Linked DNA regions of Arabidopsis thaliana. Each later gene encodes a partner of the first gene's protein in a complex. Each region holds a gene or a part of one and is shown in the gene's direction. Other genes may lie near its edges.

What was found.
Region 2: SGA2 (region 1) and AT1G21610 share a complex: the UniProt entries of both Arabidopsis thaliana proteins name them as parts of the HIRA complex.
Region 3: SGA2 (region 1) and AT1G77310 share a complex: the UniProt entries of both Arabidopsis thaliana proteins name them as parts of the HIRA complex.

What each region holds. Positions count from the first base shown.
Region 1 is NC_003070.9:24,890,273-24,894,383, forward strand, and holds SGA2 (ASF1 like histone chaperone), read left to right. Parts: upstream 1-2,067; 5' UTR 2,068-2,313; coding exon 2,314-2,422; intron 2,423-2,721; coding exon 2,722-2,837; intron 2,838-2,910; coding exon 2,911-3,276; 3' UTR 3,277-3,604; downstream 3,605-4,111. Other genes in the region: LIG6 (DNA LIGASE 6), read left to right, coding at 80-129, 222-256, 362-423, 531-692, 772-860, 992-1,091, 1,243-1,551. UniProt on the Arabidopsis thaliana protein: Histone chaperone that facilitates histone deposition and histone exchange and removal during nucleosome assembly and disassembly.
Region 2 is NC_003070.9:7,572,152-7,579,517, forward strand, and holds AT1G21610 (wound-responsive family protein), read left to right. Parts: upstream 1-1,792; 5' UTR 1,793-1,952; coding exon 1,953-2,192; intron 2,193-2,804; coding exon 2,805-2,891; intron 2,892-3,041; coding exon 3,042-3,134; intron 3,135-3,207; coding exon 3,208-3,284; intron 3,285-3,679; coding exon 3,680-3,806; intron 3,807-3,887; coding exon 3,888-4,229; intron 4,230-4,433; coding exon 4,434-4,515; intron 4,516-4,600; coding exon 4,601-4,713; intron 4,714-4,797; coding exon 4,798-4,884; intron 4,885-5,069; coding exon 5,070-5,195; coding exon of another isoform or gene 5,196-5,339; exon of another isoform or gene 5,340-5,476; coding exon 5,477-5,605; coding exon of another isoform or gene 5,606-5,647; exon of another isoform or gene 5,648-5,697; coding exon 5,698-5,745; exon of another isoform or gene 5,746-5,900; coding exon 5,901-6,014; intron 6,015-6,099; coding exon 6,100-6,492; 3' UTR 6,493-6,805; downstream 6,806-7,366. Other genes in the region: PTAC6 (plastid transcriptionally active 6), read right to left, coding at 1-90, 325-429, 977-1,045, 1,146-1,631; PUM20 (pumilio 20), read left to right, coding at 6,978-7,185, 7,229-7,366. UniProt on the Arabidopsis thaliana protein: May be required for replication-independent chromatin assembly.
Region 3 is NC_003070.9:29,049,795-29,057,027, forward strand, and holds AT1G77310 (wound-responsive family protein), read left to right. Parts: upstream 1-1,703; 5' UTR 1,704-1,876; coding exon 1,877-2,125; intron 2,126-2,366; coding exon 2,367-2,453; intron 2,454-2,602; coding exon 2,603-2,695; intron 2,696-2,794; coding exon 2,795-2,871; intron 2,872-3,255; coding exon 3,256-3,385; intron 3,386-3,466; coding exon 3,467-3,835; intron 3,836-4,198; coding exon 4,199-4,280; intron 4,281-4,364; coding exon 4,365-4,477; intron 4,478-4,568; coding exon 4,569-4,655; intron 4,656-4,847; coding exon 4,848-4,973; intron 4,974-5,229; coding exon 5,230-5,364; intron 5,365-5,468; coding exon 5,469-5,516; intron 5,517-5,668; coding exon 5,669-5,779; intron 5,780-5,938; coding exon 5,939-6,385; 3' UTR 6,386-6,637; downstream 6,638-7,233. Other genes in the region: MEI1 (transcription coactivator), read left to right, coding at 6,946-7,125, 7,214-7,233. UniProt on the Arabidopsis thaliana protein: May be required for replication-independent chromatin assembly.

The sequences.
Region 1 (4,111 bases):
TTCTTAGTCCATTGTCATTTTTGTAGTTTTCAATATGTTCTTCTAGATGTATTTCTTTTCTTCTAATGGCTTTCTGCAGGTTGAAGTCTGCGTCTTCGTGTTTGATATTATGTTTGTCAATGGAGAACAGTATGAGTCTTTTACTCACTATTTATATTTTCATTTGCATATATCCAAATACTTATATGTTGAGTTGTAATTTACTTAGCGTATCAATGCAGGCTGTTGGCTCTTCCCCTCCGTGAGAGACGAAGACGTGATTCCCATCATTTTCTTTTTTCCTTAACTTGATGCATTCATTTTCTCTACCAGGTTCATATATGTCCACTCTTATCTTACTTGGTTTTGCTTGAACTTACAGGTCTAAAGGAGGTCTTCCCTGAGACTAGGCCAGGTTATCTTGAGTATGCTAAGGAAATAACTGTAAGTGCTACGGTAGTTTCTCACCTAGAAGTTATAGGCTATAGCCTTCTTCTGTATCTAAGTGTTTTGGTATTTTCATTGAACTGATCATTGTTTGATTTTTATAGGTGGGAGCAGAAGAAGCGTCTCTGAATAATCATGACACATTGAGTAGGATAAATGCTTTTCTTGAAGAAGCATTTCAGTCATCTTGTGAAGGAATCATGGTCAAGTCTTTAGATGTAAATGCTGGATACTGCCCCACAAAGCGCTCTGATTCATGGCTCAAGGTCTCTTTGCTGTAAATTATCTTACTAAAACATAATGTGATGGAAATGGATTAAATAATGCTTTTCTTTTCTGGCTCAGGTTAAGCGAGATTATGTAGATGGATTGGGCGATACATTGGATTTAGTTCCTATTGGTGCTTGGTATGGCAATGGGAGAAAAGCAGGATGGTAGTAAAAACATATTTTCCAACTTTCTCTTTTTTTTTTTCTGAAAAGCAGAATTGTAATCATAAGTTTACTGGTAATTTCTCAAATGCATCTTGATGAATTCTGATGTTTTTTATATATTTTGTGTGTAGGTATAGTCCATTCCTTATGGCCTGCTTCAACCCTGAGACTGAAGAATTCCAGAGTGTCTGCCGTGTCATGTCTGGTTTTTCTGATGCCTTTTACATCGAGGTAATGAAAAGCTCAACTCTAACGTTGTTGTTTAATGATGAAACAGATGGGGTAGTAAATACGTTGGGTTTGGTCTATACTTGGACTCCTAATTGTCACGTGAGAACCATTTCAAGCTTGATTCTACTTTCTTATTTTGCTTATCTTGCAGATGAAAGAATTCTACTCGGAGGATAAGATCCTTGCGAAAAAGCCGCCTTACTACAGAACAGGGGAGACACCTGACATGTGGTTTTCCGCAGAGGTAGTTTGGGAAATCAGAGGTGCTGATTTCACAGTCTCGCCTGTTCACAGTGCCAGTTTAGGTCTCGTCCATCCATCGCGAGGCATCTCTGTTAGGTTTCCGAGATTTATCAGTAAAGTGACAGATAGAAATCCTGAAGAATGTAGTACGGCTACAGATATCGCAGAGATGTTTCATGCTCAAACCAGAAAAATGAACATCACTTCTCAACATTAACACGCTTCCTATCTGCTTTTGGTTCGTTTAGACTTTTTTTTTTTTTTTTTTTTTTGCTATCAAGCACTTGCAAAGTTGCAAGGGTGTTTAAATAGGAACCTAACTCACAAAATATTTTTTGTGGTTTTTAATCTGTAGGTAGAATGTGTAAATATTTCTACCTAGAACTATGTGAATATTTAACCCATCTGTATATATTATCTATGTGCGTCACTTTTTCTTTTTTGATGTCGTAAACACAAATGGTAACACTGGTAACAAAATATTGAAAGATAGAAAAAAAAAAAAGTATATAGGATATGATTGGTAATCTCTTATTTGTGTCACTAATCGATTGAATTCTATATTTTTTTCGTATTTATGTGTTGGACACTAAAATTATCAAATATTTAGCAAATTTCCCTGCTGCATTTCGTGAGTTAAAGTATTCCTCCCGCCAATTCAACTTAACCGGTAGTAGCCGGTCACCATTCCAACGACAACCGGTTATAAGAAAGCCATCCCCAAAATTGAAAACATTTTCATCGTCTTCTTAATCAAAAAAAAAAAAAAAAAAAAACTCTGAAGCTTCTTCTTTGATTAATTCTCTCCTGGGGAAAAAAAACCCTAGCTCTTCCTTCTTCTCTCTTCTCTTGAATTATCTGCTTTCGAATTTTTTGAAAAGGGAGAAACTTTTTCATCTGGGTCTCTCTCTCTCCCGAGTTTGGATGAAGTTTATTGAAACCTAGGGTTTTTCTCCGACTTGGTTGTTGATTAGAGATAATGAGTGCAATCAAAATCACCAACGTCGCTGTATTGCATAATCCTGCTCCTTTTGTTAGCCCTTTTCAGTTCGAGATTTCTTACGAGTGTTTGAATTCTCTCAAAGACGGTAAAAATCTCCTCTTTCTCCTTCCCCTGAATTGTAATTCATCTCGACTTTATTTAGGTTTTAGTCTCTGCTGATTCTTATGGATTGTTTTCAACACCAATTTGTTGCTGCTGATTGTAATTGGAACATATTGTTACCTAATTGCTTTGTCAGAGTCATGCTCTAATGGTTTGTTTTCTAATTGATAATCTAGAGTCTTGTTGTCTATTAGTTGGATTTATCTATGCACAAGTTCTTGGTTAACATTGTTATAGGGTGAGGATAACTTAGATAGACCCGTGCTTTTGCTTGTGGTACAGATTTGGAATGGAAGCTTATCTATGTAGGCTCAGCAGAAGATGAGACTTATGATCAACTTCTAGAGAGTGTGCTTGTAGGGCCTGTTAATGTTGGCAACTACCGCTTTGTATTTCAGGTAACATATGCACTACTACCTCTTCCAAGCACCAACAAAGTCTTGGTCTAACTCTCTATTACTACTGTTACAGGCTGATCCTCCGGATCCATCAAAGATTCAGGAGGAAGACATCATCGGTGTTACTGTGCTATTGTTGACATGTTCTTACATGGGTCAAGAGTTCTTGAGAGTTGGATATTACGTGAACAATGATTATGAGGATGAGCAACTCAAGGAAGAGCCTCCAACTAAGGTTTTGATTGATAAAGTTCAGAGGAACATACTTTCCGACAAACCTAGAGTTACTAAATTTCCTATAGATTTTCATCCAGAAGAAGAGCAGACTGCTGCTACTGCCGCTCCTCCTGAACAATCTGATGAACAACAACCTAATGTCAATGGTGAAGCTCAGGTTTTACCTGATCAGTCAGTAGAACCAAAACCTGAGGAATCATGATCCTTATACCAAGTCTAGTTGAAGAAAAGTGGATGAGAATTGAGAACTATTGTCTCCACAGATGTTGCGCTTTGCTTTTCTGTCTTTCAAAAGCATTATATGCTGTTTGTTGTACTTAATTCTAGAGGCTTTAGGGAAGTGATTCTTGACATTTTTGTATGTTTATGTTTTGGGCAAAGGTTTTTTAAATCGAAGCAAAGCCAACAGTTGCCAAACAAGATTCTGAGTTCTGATGGTTGGAATTTGGTAATAGGTGTAGAATAACTTCCCTAGATTTTCTCAAGGTACAAAGCGACATTTGATCTTCATCATTTGTTGAAAAAAGTGCCGTTAAATGGTCATAGTTAGCATTGATGATGATGATTATCATCATCATCAACCATAATTCTTTCACCAAAAAAACATGAGTCCGTGATTTTTTTAGGACCGTTTCACAGTTGTTCTGCCAAAAATATGAGTCCGCATTTATTCACCAAAAAAAAAAAAAAAAAAAAAGTAGTACACATTACAATTTCTCGCCTAACGATTTTACTCTGTGGTAAACCGAAAGATAGTTAAAAACGGCTCCATTTCGATTACTTTGAAAAAAAAAAAATGTTTGTTTTGTTAAAAGAAAATATCTTTTAAAATATTAAAAAATATTTTATTCAAACTTTTATTAATACAGATCTAATTACTAAACTCAATAACATTATAAAAGCCGTGTTCGGCTAAGCCCAGTAAGCCCTATATGTTTTGAATAAATACGATATTTTATAATAAACAGATTGTTGTTTTTAAATACCTAATAATACATAATATATTCCTATACTTGACAATAACGAATAAGAATTAT
Region 2 (7,366 bases), about 17 Mb from region 1:
CTTGGAATCAATAACATATATCTCTTCAAGATCTAGCACAAATTCTGGATCGTTTGTCCTTCTGTTCCGGTAATGTTTTGTCAAGAAAACCTGCATAAAAAATAAACACGATGAAGACAATTTGTATCAGAAACTGTAACTACTAAACTAAGTAGTTTCGTGTTGATCTCATCCTTAATGCTTAAAAAACATATTTCCTGGTGTGGTTTCCAAAAATGTTGTCAAATCAAAACTAAGTACATCCTTGTTAATACATGTTGCTCAAGACTCCCTGCATCAAAGACCTAATGGATTTAACATCAATGTACATGGTCCAATATGTACCTTGGATATCTCCCTCTCAGATTTGTACAGTGGATCTCTGGGGGCATCAATAGGTGGTTCAGTGACATTGTAACATCCATAGTCACTCATTGCACATCGAATATACTGTACTTGTAACATCATTAAACAAGCCCTTGTTAGCACCACTCACTCATTGTAACAACTTGCTTATAAATAAACCTTACAATGTAAAACATACGCAATCATGAAGCAGCAAAGAGTACAAAACTGGCCACAGAATGAAAGGAAAGTGACTAAACAAACACCCAGCTGCTACATTCTGACTCTCTAATCATACTAAATGCTGACCATTTACGGCACTTTTTGAGATTATATGTTCAAAATTCCAGTCTATCAGTGTGAGTAGAAGTTCCAAACAATACCAAACGTGTACAGCTCTGTGTAGATAAGATTTCTTAAGTTATACAATTACTAGGTAGAGTGAAGGTATATGGGTTATACAATTACTAGGTAGAGCTCTGTGCAGATAAGATTTCTTAAGTGATACAATTACTAGGTAGAGTGGAGGTATATGGGTTCAATTAGCAATTAAGCACAATATGAAAAGCAATTATCTTGCTGAACAAAAGGAAGTCTCAGAACAACGCATAGGCATTACAAAAACAGCAACCGATAAGGATAAATGACTGACCTTTTGAGGCATCGGTGCAAGAACTCTCGGAATTGAGTAAATATCTGTATCCGGAGGAGTAACATACATCTGCAGCCACCCACACAAAACAATTTACAATTGAAGAATGAGCACAGACTCTAGAGAAATCGAAGAAATGAGCAATTAGAGTCACTGGGAATTCACACACCTCTCTGAAATCATAAACATCATTATCTGGATCAGGAGGTTTTCTGATAAAGAAATCACAGTCCATTAAGCTGAGTTTATGAAACTCATCTTCGTTTATCCGATAATCAACCACCATATCCGAATCCCATCCTTGTGTCGATATAAAACTCTTACTCTGAACAAAAGCGATATCTCCATCACCACCACCGCCTGCAGCGGCTATCGCGGCGGCCAAGGGGTCATACTCGACATCATAGTCCTTCTTGTTGTCAACTTCCTCTACCTCCTCATCATCCATATCATACTCGTCCGCTCCACCTCCATCAGCATCGACGTCATCTACTTTAACGACTATACCACGGCCGCGTCGGGATTTCAGTGTTAAAGGCGCGAAAAGACCGTCCGTTCTGAATGACGCAAATAGCCGCTGAGAGCCGGAGGGATAAGGTGGCTTCGAGGTGAATGAGAGTAGAGATAAGGAAGGAGAAGCGGCGGAAGACGCCATTGGAAGCGGATAAAGCTCACAGAGTGTTCTATCTATCTGTGGATTAGATATTTCGAGGAAAAATACAATTAAAAAAAAAAGAAAAACTATATAATATAATAATAATCCTTTTTAGTGAATAAAACAACAAAAATAAATTAGGAAATAATTAAGAGCGTCATTTTTGGTATCCCGCGCAACTTTTTCTTCTCAGTTTCAGTTTCTCTACATCGATTCATCGATTCCACTCTCTTGATTGCTGTTTAGATCAATCCGTCTCGAACCCAGGGGTTAGTATATAGTGGATCAAACTGATCCGACCCGACCCGACCCGAATTATTAATGTCGGAAGTTAATGAGATGAGTGGTGGTTCTATTGGCGGCGAATTGTTGAGAGCGTCGCCGAAGGTTTTAACGGCCGGTGATCGGAAATTACTCAAGGTGGAGCTTCGGCCAGGGGATACGACGTATGTTTCGTGGAAGAAGCTTATGAGGGATGCTGGTAAGGTCAATGGTTTATCGGCTTCGGTTCCCGACCCGCCTCCTAATGCTAACCCTAACCTTGAGTTTCGAATTGCACCGGTGAGTTTGATGTTGTAGGAATTGGTAATCGGATATATATACTTGTAGGCATTTGTGGGTTTCGTTTGCTGTTATTGGAGTAAGCATTTGTCTTGTTTCGGGGAGTTGTAATCTTTGTTAGGGTTTATAAAGGAGCTTTACTAAATTCGCAGATTTTCAGATTTATTTGTTGGGGAAAATGCTTGAAATCGATATGGTATAGGAGGAATTCTGTTGTTATTGCTCTCTGACGTCTGTGACTAGAGTTCAATAAGCAAACTCCTTAAACGGAGAAAGTCTACAACCTGATATATGATCTTTGGCTTCATTTCTAATTGCTAGCTACATTAGGCTAACTTCATCGTTATCAATGTGAATATGCCATCAATTATACTTGATCTGGAAAGGAATTTGGTTCACATAGTTGCAATGGAAACTATAGCTGTAATAGTGAAGAATATAGAGAAAGTTTTATTAATATCTATTAGTGCAAGAGAATGAAGCATATAATAGTGGATCTTCATTTAAGATGGTATAATATGCTTGCAGCTTCCTCACAATATATTCTTCTTATGCATACAATATGGGTGGTTAAAATCATTTTCAACAGCTGTATTTTCGTATATAATGTAGGGGCATCCAGTAGAGATTGAAACGAATGAACAACCTCATTCTAACCGTTTCAACGCTGTTATTGAGAAGATAGAGAGGCTCTATAAGGTATGCTACTCTTTGTTAAAACACTTTTCTTGGTAGGTTGTTATATGTTTGATTTTTCACATTCACAACATTTTTGCATACCATGCAATAGCACTGTTGCATTCACACATCTCTGAAAAGTGTATGCTTACTTCAGAGAATAAATCTCAGGGGAACGATAGCAGTGATGGGGAAGAGTTAGACGGTGCTCCTGATGATGATGAGTATGACACTGAAGATTCATTTATAGATGATGCTGAACTGGTTGGTGTTGATATCTTTCAAATATTTTTGATAGCTGAGAAATCATATCTCTGTTTTACTCTACTCCTTGCAGGATGAGTATTTCGAAGTTGATAATTCAACAGTTAAACATGATGGATTTTATGTAAATAGAGGCAAGTTGGAGCGGATGTGAGTTATCTTCCTCTTTTCATTATCTGATGTCTCTTAACTCTTTGGTGGCTTTGTCACTTTTCAATCACTCAGATCATGTTTAGAATAGGCATGTCGTAAGTTTTTGAAATAAACATATGAAATCACCTTGCTTTTCAGTTTTTCTTCCTATTTGGATATGTGTAGTCTCTCCAAATGGTAAAATATGGTTGGCAGTCTTGCTACTACTGCCTTAACTAATGTCTGTAGGGTGTTTGGTATGGGTAAAGTCCATTTTTCAACTTTTCTGGTTAAAAAACGTTCATATAGATGTAGGTTTTGCACTTTCGATAGGATAGAGTTTTTCTCATTTTGCCTAATCATGCTATATTTCATTTACAAGTTATCTAATCCCTGATTCATTTTCACAATAGGGAACCTTCAACAACATCTAACCAGCAACCCAAAAAACGGCGACGAAAAGATTCAGCAAAACCCTGTCGTGATGCAGTTGACGTATCCGATAAACACACCAAGTTGTCTATAACAGCTAGGAAAAAGGTAACATCTTTTATTGCAAATCATACTAATTTATGTCGGAGTTTGAGTCTGATAACTGATTATACGAATGGGGAAGTCCAGGATCAATCAACTGCTCCTGGGTCCTGGAAAACACAGGAGTCACCTTTGCCTTCTGGAGCGCAAGATGCAAATACTTCAGTACCTCTGGATGATGTGAAGCATTCTGATAGAGCAAATCATCAGTCTAGGAATGATACAAGTCACAAGTCAAGGGAAACTGGATCCTCTAGTGCCCTTCATCAGAAATACAGCAACAAAAGCTTACACCAACAATCTACGTCCCTGCTAGGAAAATCTCCCCCCAATGTCTTTGCAGAGGTAACAGTAGTCCGTCAGAAAGAAAACAATGGTATGCATCAGCTGGCAAATGTAACGGGAAGCAGACAATCTAGTCAAGCGTCTGTAAGTACATTCCAACTGTGTCTACAATTACATAAAATACACTCAGTAAGTTGGTTGCATTCTAAGGTCGTAGTTTTGTTTCTCCAGTTTTCATCTCGGTTCTGTGATATTTTTCTGGTCAATCTTTGCTTCCATGCATTTTTCTTACCACAAAGTTTACATCAGTCTTGCTTTATAATTCTGCAATAACCTGTCTCTACTCAGAAAAAAGATGGTTCTAATGTGAAGTCTAAAACCTCAATCCTCGAGAAAGCCATAAGGGAACTGGAGAAGGTGGTTGTGGAATGTGAGTTTTAATATTTTTCAAGTGTGACCAACTAGAATAGCATTTGGTGATTTTCAACTTACAAGAATTTATGATTTATAAGCAGCAAGGCCTCCTGCTATCACTGAAAATCAAGAAGCTGATACCTCATCCCAGGCAGTGAAGAGAAGATTGCCCAGGGATGTTAAATTGAAACTTGCTAAAGTTGCTAGGATTGCGGTACTAGAGCTTTTCCATTTGTTCTTCTCATTTTTTTGAAACTTGAAACGGTATGAGAAAAAACTAATATGCCTTTTGTGGCAGCAGGCAAGCCAGGGAAAACATTCAACAGAGTTAATCAACCGTCTTATGAGCATTGTTGGTCACCTAATCCAGCTTAGGTCTCTTAAGGTAAAATTTTCTGTCTCCTGTATCCTAGTCTTTCTGTTACTAAAGCAGACTTGTTAGGACTTTCGTCAAGGTGTTTAAATAGTTAGTCTTCTTCAGGACATTCATGTTCCAGTGAAAAACTCTTCTGTTTCAGGTACAAGCAAACAAAATATGGTTTCTTACTCTTTGTAATGCTTATTTTGCAGAGGAACTTGAAAATCATGATTGATATGGGAGATTCTGCAACCCGAGAAAAGGATACTAGGTTCAAGCAAATCAACAATGAAGTTCTTGATATGATAAAGGCCAAAGTTTCTTTGATGGAATCACAGGTTCTCTCTCTCTCTCTCTGTTCTAATCTTAAGTTGCTTGATAGGCATTTCTTTCATCCATGGCTTTTCTATCTTATTACATTCTTGGAAGTGTCATTAACTTTTATGAAATCTGGAGTTCTCTCTGATAATGGTTTTCCGTAGATCAAGCTCTTCATTCTTTTGTTTTCGATGTTCCCTGTGGGTCAATCTGCCTTTGTAGCGTATTTTCCTCCTATTAATATGTTGAGGCACCTGTGACATTTATGATATTTCTTGCACTATCATTTTATGTTCCATAGGCAATCAAACCAGAAGGTGCAACATCAGACGATTTTCAGGACTCAGTAGAAAAGCCATCTTTGAAGAAGTTTGTCATGGATGCGGCATTGGAGGATAAATTGTGTGACCTATATGACATATTTATCGACGTAATTATCATTTACCTTTATAATCTGCCATGCCAATTCTAGACATAGAATTAGAGTCAAAACGGTTTTGTTCCTGTTTTTTGGTATATTAGGGATTGGATGAAGATCAAGGTCCACAAACAAAAAAGCTATATGTCAATGTAAGCCCTTCTCCATTCCCGATTATTTTTGGTATTCTGGTTTTTTTTGTTCCAAGCTTATCTCATGTCTTAAATCACCAATTAGACCTAGCCAAAAGCTCAAGGTGGTTTGTTAGAGCTTGATGAATATTGTTTTGGAATTATTCATGCTCCAGTTGGCTGAACTCTGGCCAAATAGATTGATGGATTATCGTGGGATCAAACATGCAATTTTCCGGGCAAAGGAGAGACGAAAAGCATTGTATGGAAACCTTGCGAAAGAGATGGTAGTTAAAGAATTTTCTCAGCCCTTTACCTCTTTGCATTAAAATTTTCGCAATTTGCTTTGCTTGATTAGATTCTGCTTTGTTAAAGGATCAAACAAAGATGAAGAAGAGTATGAAGCAGTTGGTACCAAGAACAGACTGTACTGCTCAGCCCAACACCGAATTAGTGGTTCAGAGACAACACAGTGGGGAAAAAAAATTGATTGTTGATCCAAATGCAACCAGCACTTCCGTGGTCACTAGTCAAACTATGGTTGACAGATCAAATCAGCAGCAGCCTGAGAAGCTAAAGGGAATCTCAAGCTCTTGCAATCCTACAGAGGAAACAAGAGTGGTCAAGAGAAAGAACGAGGCTGTAATGGCTGAGAAACAAGTCGTTCTTGCCCTGAAGAAGCCCGAACATCCACAGACACGTGTAATCCCAGCTCCTCAGAATCTGAACATCCCACGAACAACCCCGGACCTGAACTTGCCAAGTTGACATCACGATTGACAAAGGAGCTCTTAGAAACGCCGGAGACAATAACCTCTGGCCTCTTCCTTCCTTGTATTTTGAGGTGGCACGGCATTAGTCCTGGCGATGCCGATGCTTGGTTTTTTTAGCTACAAAGCATGGTTTATAAAGTTGTCTGTATTCCAGTTTGGCTCTTATTAAGTTAGTTACTCTATTTACGTGTCCTTTTTCAAAACTCTAATGTATAAAGTTATGATTTTACGGGCAACTCTTTACTTTTGAGTAAAAAAAACAGAGCAGGTTTTAGTACTGAATTTTGGGTAACGTAGTTGAAAATTTGATTTCGGACGATAATGTAAAATTGATGAAATACATCAAAATGACTACATTAATCCTTTTGACACAATATGAATAATCAATTTTAATTAATATTATTATTACTTGTAAAACAGTATAAATATGGCTCATTATTTCACAGATTCTCAACACTCTCTCATTCTCCACAATTTACGATGGCACACCAGCTCCGTTTTGCCGCCGCAAGAGAACCCATCTCAGAAGAGTATCCGGCGGTTGCTCTTCCTCATCCACGTTGCATCTCCGTCGCGTTTCCTCCTCCGAGATTCACACCATCTCCGTCGCCTTTAACTAATTACTCATTCTTGGCCGCATTAACTCCTCAAGAACTGGAGATGCGTTTGCAAATTGCAATGGATGTCCGTAATGACTAATAACGAAGATCATGTTGCGGCTCCGTTTGAAGAGATGATCTCGAAGTTAGACCAAAGAAAGCTTCAAACGATGGCGTCATTGCTGACATCAGATCCCGATTACTTCTTGATGATCGCAAGAAACATGAACGGCTCCAAACGCATTCAGAAACTTCTCGGAAAAACAGATG
Region 3 (7,233 bases), 4.2 Mb from region 1:
TTCGTTCTAATAAGATTCTCGCTAGTATTCTTCCATAATGGTTTATCATTAGAAAAAAGAAATATATATTGTATGTGTATATCAGAATAAAAGTTCATGTAATAACTTTAGTCTACCAAACCTAGCTAGTTGTATTATTATTTTACAATAAGACTCACACAGCCCCACTCATTCGCAATCATAACATCGGCGGAGACTTTCGCGACCAAGCAAGCGGGAATAAGTTTCATAGCTCCAGACAACGATGGTTAACTGACTTGTGTTCTCCTCGTTGAAGATGCAAATAAGTGCGATGATGATGAGCCAAGCATTTATCCGAATCAGAGTCTTGTTAACGATATTGAGTCACGGTTTGAATGTGACCAAACCCTTGCTATGATCCCTGTCATTAGAAGCCAAAAACGTGGAAGCTAAGGGGAGGATATTCATACACGAAGTCGCAGTATTTCTTCTTGTTGTCCACCTCATCCACTTCATCTTCTCATCCATATCATATATGTCGTCGGACACCGTCCATATTGAAGATGAATGAGCAGTTGCGGCGGAACTTAGAGGTTGGAGACTATGTCGACTTTATAAGAGATCAAAGAAGCATCACAATAAAAGAGAGAGCAGAAGAGTATCGCCATGATCCCTGGGAAGCGTGGAACTGCAAGGGTGTTATATAGGCTTATAGTGTTGTAGTTGTTGATAATTACTATATTTTGATGTTTGCATTACTGTCTGTCTATATGGAGCCATGGAGGTGATATCATAATCCAAGGGAGAATTAAGAGCTAAGAGAAAAACTTATGCTATCATCTAGCTACACATGATGCATAAAATCTGTGCCTAATTCATAGTTTTGATAATATGGAAACCAAGGAATGCTTTGATATATGACAATAAGCTATGGATCATCATTCCATTGCTAAAAAAAGAGAGAAAAACAATGGAGTTGAGAACAAAAATATGAGATGCGGGAATTGAACTAATCAAGTTATAATCTACTTGTACACATAACCATGTCCCACTCACTTCTCTCAACGCACTTTTGGATGCATCTTGGAAATATGAGAACAAACCATACGAACACTAAAACTAATTGTTTCGCTTTTGTATGATCAACAAAACAGACTTGTAGTTTGGAGTTGATGTAGTCTTACTGTAATGCCGTCTCTCGGTATTGACCTATTCCGACGCAGTTTCCTCAAGAACAATATTAATGCAAAAAGCAACAATTCTAAGGCAAATACATAAGCAAGGCAAGCAAAATAAAATTGTTGTCTCTTCGAATTTCTTAGAATAACTTATGTAACAACTCCTCGTTACTTGATGTTTCATTAATTAACGGACAAAACAAAGAATGACACATGATATTTTCATAATTAATTAAACATATTACCACATCCACTTTTATGAAACCAAAAGCTTAATAAAAACATTATTTAACCTCTAACAAATTTTAATTTATTTTATAGACAAAATAGACACTTTTTTCTCTTGAAAAGTGATTCTTAGGATTCTCTCATATTTAGTCATTTTAATTTTTTGAAAAATTGAAACCTAAATATGTTTGTTTACATTTAATTTGCACTAAAAAAACAAAAATCATTTTCCGAGAGACAGAAAAAAATAAATAGTAATAATTAAAACCTGTTTACGAGGAGGAGAAAAAATAAAATAAAAGAAAATAAATAAAAGCTTAAGAAGCGTCTCATTGCTGGATATCCCGCGCAACGTTGTAACAAAAATCGTCCTCTCAGTTCCAATCTCTCTCAGATTCTCCTCCTCATCACAATTCCCCACTCCTTTGATTCTTGTCCCAGAGTCACGTCCTCTCCTATTCGGGTCTCTACAGAGTCTAACTCTGACCCGACCCGACCCAATTCACTAAATGGAGGACGAACCAAAGCTCCCAACCGATGACGGTCCAACTTTCAACGAATCGTGTAAAATCTCGTCTGAGATATTGACCGCCGGTGATCGGAAATTACTTAAAGTTGAACTCCTCAAAGAGGAGACCACGCTCGTATCGTGGAAGAAGCTTATGGATGAGGCTAGCAAAGAAAACGGCGGCTTGTTCGTTTCGGCTCCCGAACGGCTTCTTAATGCCAACCCTAACCTCGAGTTTCGCCTTGCACCGGTGAGTTCTTAGCTGCCTACATGCATATTCTCATGTATTCATTTCTCTGTCTCTGTTAGACCAATTTTTGTATTGTATCATCATTCCGGGAGCTGAATTGGGAAATTTCTCCTTGACATTGAGTTTAGAGCTAGGGTTTCAATAAACTAACTCTTGAAAATGAAACAAAACTAAAGCTGTATAGTGATTTCAATGTGGATACTGATCATTGTCTAATGATTTAGCGATATATCGAATGCAGGGGGCACAAACAGAGAATGAAATGGTGAATCAACCTCATCCTAATCGTCTTAACTCTGTTATAGCCAAGATTGAGAGACTTTATATGGTACCTTTTCTTACTACTGTTTCTATTGATTATCTGAACAAGTAAGATGAATGTTTGATTTCTTATTCGGAACATTTTTCATACCATGCATTAGCACTGGTTTTGCAACAGATTTCTGATTAGCGTATACTTCATAAAATAAATTTCAGGGTAAAGACGGTAGTGATGGGGAAGAGTTAGACGGTGCTCCTGACGATGATGACTATGACACTGAAGATTCATTTATCGATGATGCTGAATTGGTTAGTGTAGATATCCTGACTATGGCTTTCTTATGTGATCAAAGTGTATCTTGATAGCTGAGACATCCTTCTTTCTTTCTTTCTTTTTTCCCATTGTAGGATGAGTATTTTGAAGTTGATAATTCGCCAATTAAACATGATGGATTTTTTGTCAATAGAGGAAAGTTAGAACGAATGTAAGTTTTTTGTCCTCTTTTTGTTGTATGTTGTCGCATTTCTCTATGGCAGGTTTGTCAGTTTTCATTTGGTGATATGTTGTGGAGAATAGGCTATGGGCAGCATAAGTGTGTGAACATATATTTGGCATCACCGTTCTCTTCCCTCTAATTAGGTTTATGCAATGTTTACTCAGGGCAGAAATATTTGATAGAATTTTCTTGATAATATTGCTACTTCTCTGCTAACATATCTAGGTTATGGTCAAAACGCAATGAATATTTTGTATCGTTGTGGTCTCTGATTATAAATAGGATTCAGGTTTCCCTGTTTCCTTATGAGTAGGTTATCTTCCATTACCATTCTTACCAGTTTATCTAAATTGTGTTTCCTTCCTACAACAGTGAACCTTCAGCTACATCGAACCAGCAGCAACCAAAGAAAAGGCGAAGGAAGGAGTCAGCAAAACCTTGTGGCGATGTTGTTGATGTATCCAGAAAACGAGCCAAGATGGCTAAGACGGCTGGGGGAAAGGTACATTACTTGCAAATAACTTTTTGAATCTATTTTAGAGTTCCATTCCAGACAGTTGATTATTTGAATGTGAAAGTCCAGGATCAATCTGCTTCTCCTGGGCCCTCTTCGAAGAAAATTTCCAATGATTCAAAGACGGTGCAAGATTCGTTTTCCCCTTTGAAAGCGCAAAATGGCAATGATTCCTTAGTTTTGGAAAATGTGAAGCATACTGATAAAGCGAATCACCAGCCAATGAATGCCACGAGTCCGAAGTCAAAGGCAGCTGGATCTTCTGGCCCCCTTCATCCGAAGTGCAGCAGCAAAAGTGTTCATGAACAATCTAATTCCCCTCCAGGAAAATCTCGGCCAAATGTTTCGGCAAAATCAGCAGTAGTTCGTCAGCAAGTTAACAATGGCATGCCTGACCTGGACATTGCAACGGAAAGCAAAACATCTATTCAAATATCTGTAAGTACTTTCCAGCTATCTTAAGTTTATTAGATTCCTCATTTTAGTTAGTTTGGAATTTGAAGTAAGCATGTATTTGGGGCTTTCATCTTCTACATCCAAGAGTGATGCTTCTCTAATCTTTGAGACTGTAGAAATGATCTGTAATTGTAAAGATATTAGCATTTAATTAGGAGAGTTCACGCATTAGATGGCTTCTATCTGTAATTAGTTTTCATCTCGACTCTGGGTTGATCTTTCTGGCTAATATTTGCTTCCATGCTTTACTCTTGCATATCTTACAATCTGTACTCAATTTTTTATTTTTGGAATGGAGCCCCCATGGTATTTACATTAGATTGCTCTTTACCTTTCTCTATTTAGAAAAAAAGCGGTTCAAATGGCCGGCCTAAATACTCGACACTTGAGAAAGCCATCAGGAATTTGGAGAAGTTGGTCGCTGAATGTGAGTTTCAACTGTTTCGTTGTTCTCTACATGCATGAGAAGCTAAATACCATTTAGTAAACTATCATATCCAATTTATTGCAGCAAGGCCTCCTGCTGCCACTGAGAATCAAGATGCCGATATCTCTTCCCAAGCAGTGAAGAGGGGATTGCCAGGAGATGTAAAATTGCATCTTGCTAAAGTTGCTAGAATCGCGGTAATCAAACTCTTCTGTTTCTAAATATGTATATAAATTTTAATAATCTTTCAGATGTATGAAGAAGAGTAGCAATTTTCTTTTCTTGAAGTATGCGAGCCAAGGTGAAATATCAGGAGAGTTAATCAATCGTCTCATGGGCATTGTCGGTCATCTAATACAGATTAGATCACTTAAGGTATTCATCTCTATCTCCTGCATACCGAGACTTGTTATCGTAATGGAGTTGTGATTCTTACTGAGGCATTAAAGTATTTAGATTTTTTCGATTTAAGGTGAAAGCTCTTCCATTCCAGAAAGAGCTAACAAGATCTGTATTTGTTAGTGAAGGAGTTCAAGCTCTTACGGTTTAGTAATTGTTATTGTACAGAGGAACTTGAAAATCATGATTGATTCGATCGTCACTGCAAATCGAGAAAAAGATACTAGATTTCAGCGGATCAAGAGTGAAATAACTGAGATGTTAAAAACACAAGTTCCACTTGTGGAATCCCAGGTTCTCTCCCTTCTACTCTACTAGTTTCTCTGATCTGATTTTCAAAAGTATTTCGTATCTGCTATGTTGCATAGATACTTTTGTTCTTGTCTTTATTGTTGGATTTAAACATCTTCTTTCGATGATGCACGAAACTCAGAGTTCTCTCTGATTATGATTGGCCTTGGATAAGCACTTATATCTCCCTTTTATTGAGACATTGATAAACATCTGATATTTTGAAATATTCCTTGCGCTGACATAAATTGTTTCACAGGAAACAAATCAAGAAGCTGGAACATCAGACGATTTTCAGGATGTTGGATCTCTTGGAAAGTCACCTGTGAAGAAGTTTGTCATGGATGTGGCGCTGGAGGAAAAATTGTGTGATCTATATGACGTGTTTGTTGAGGTAATTAATATTTTCCATAACCTTACATAAAAAGGTGTTCCAACTTGTTAGATGCAGAATTGTAAGTGTCAACATAGTTTTTGCTCTGTTTTTGGTAATACTAGGGAATGGATGAACATTCAGGTTCACAAATCAGAAAGCTTTATTCAGATGTAAGTTCCTCTCCAACCTTTATATTTTGCCATTCTTTGTCTATTTGCTTTCCAGATCCATTCAAAAACATTAGACTAGACCTTGCCTAATATTCAAGATTGTTTACCAAACCTTCCTGATTGATTTTCTTTTGGATTTATTCTTGCTCCAGCTAGCTCAACTGTGGCCCAATAGTTTAGTTGACAATCATGAGATCAGGCGTGCCATTTGCCGGGAAAAGGAAAGGCGGAGAGCATTGGAAGGAAACATTGGGAAGGAGATGGTATTTGAGAAATTCTTAACTTTTTTACGCCATAGCTGTTTGTTTGCTTCTAACGTGCTAACTTTTGGATGTGATAAATATCCATTTGTCATCGAATATTATCATGAACTCGCACATTTCGCTCATGTTTATCATTCCTCAACTTTTATTTTATTTTAGGATCAAACGAAGATAACAAAGAAGAAACAGACACAATTGGTCCCTAAATCTGAGGGTATTACTTATCCCGACAAGACTTCAGGTGTTGAAGTTAAAGCAAGTGTTGTCCTAACTGCAACCACCACGTCCTTAGTGGACTGTCAACCTGCAGCAGACTCGTCCTTTGAAAGGTCAAAGCAGCAACATGAGAAATTAAAGCGAACTTCGAGCTTAAGCAATCCTGCAGCAGAAGGAAAGAAAGTCAGAAGAAAGACAGAACCAGCTCTAGAAGAAACTCACCTGCCCGCAGAGAAACCCCTCGTTCTGGCCCTGAAGCGGCAGACACATCTAAAATCCAAGACACATAAACAGGTACAGGTACATCCACAGTCCAAGGCACATAAACAGGCACAGGTACATCCAAAGGCCAAGACACAGACTCCTCCAGACCTGAACCTGCCAAGTTAGGTACTACAGCTTAGATTTTTTTTCTCAAAGTCTGGCTCTAGCCTTGCCTTTGTTTTTCGTAGCTATAGTTTCGCTTCTAATTTTTGCGCCTAGTATTGATTTTCTAGTCGTTTCTTACGTAGAAGACGAAGTCCCTCTCCTCGTTACAAATTAAAGATGTTAAGAGAAGCTCCAATTCTTTCAATCTGTTTTTTTTGACGGAATAAACCAACACATGTAGCCTATTTCTAAATGGGTCTAAATTTGTCGGCGGCCCAATAAGGGGTCATAATAAAAGAATAAAAAGCCTTAAAAAGGAATTAGTATGTATCTGAAATCAAGCTCACTGGACTGGACGACCAAAAAAAAAGCGCACCGAAAATTCCCGCGTTCTCTTCTTACCAGTTACCACGCCGAATCACTGACCTCAAATCCAGAGCTTGACGAATCTCGTGCTATGCGAATGCTACTAGGTTCTAATATCCATCTTCTTCCGACGATTCTAGGGTTTCAATTTTCTCCGATAACCCCGTGAAGCTCTTACAAAGTCGAGAAGTGCGTGGTTAGGTTTTCCGGCGGCGATGAAGACGACGCAACTGTTCAAAGGGGCAAATGTTTTTATGTCTCGGAATCTGGTGCCTCCTGAAGTCTTCGACACACTTCTCGATGCTTTCAAGCTTAACGGTGCCGAAATCTTCCTCTGCTGCGACCCATCTCGGAGTGGTCCCTCTGATTTCCATGTCATCGCTTCTCCCGATCATGTGCGAAATGTTCTTTCTTATATATCCCTGCAATTGCTTATTTCGTTATATAATCTGCTCTTATTGCCATTTTTTTGGGGTTTTACAGGAGAAATTTAAGGATCTTAA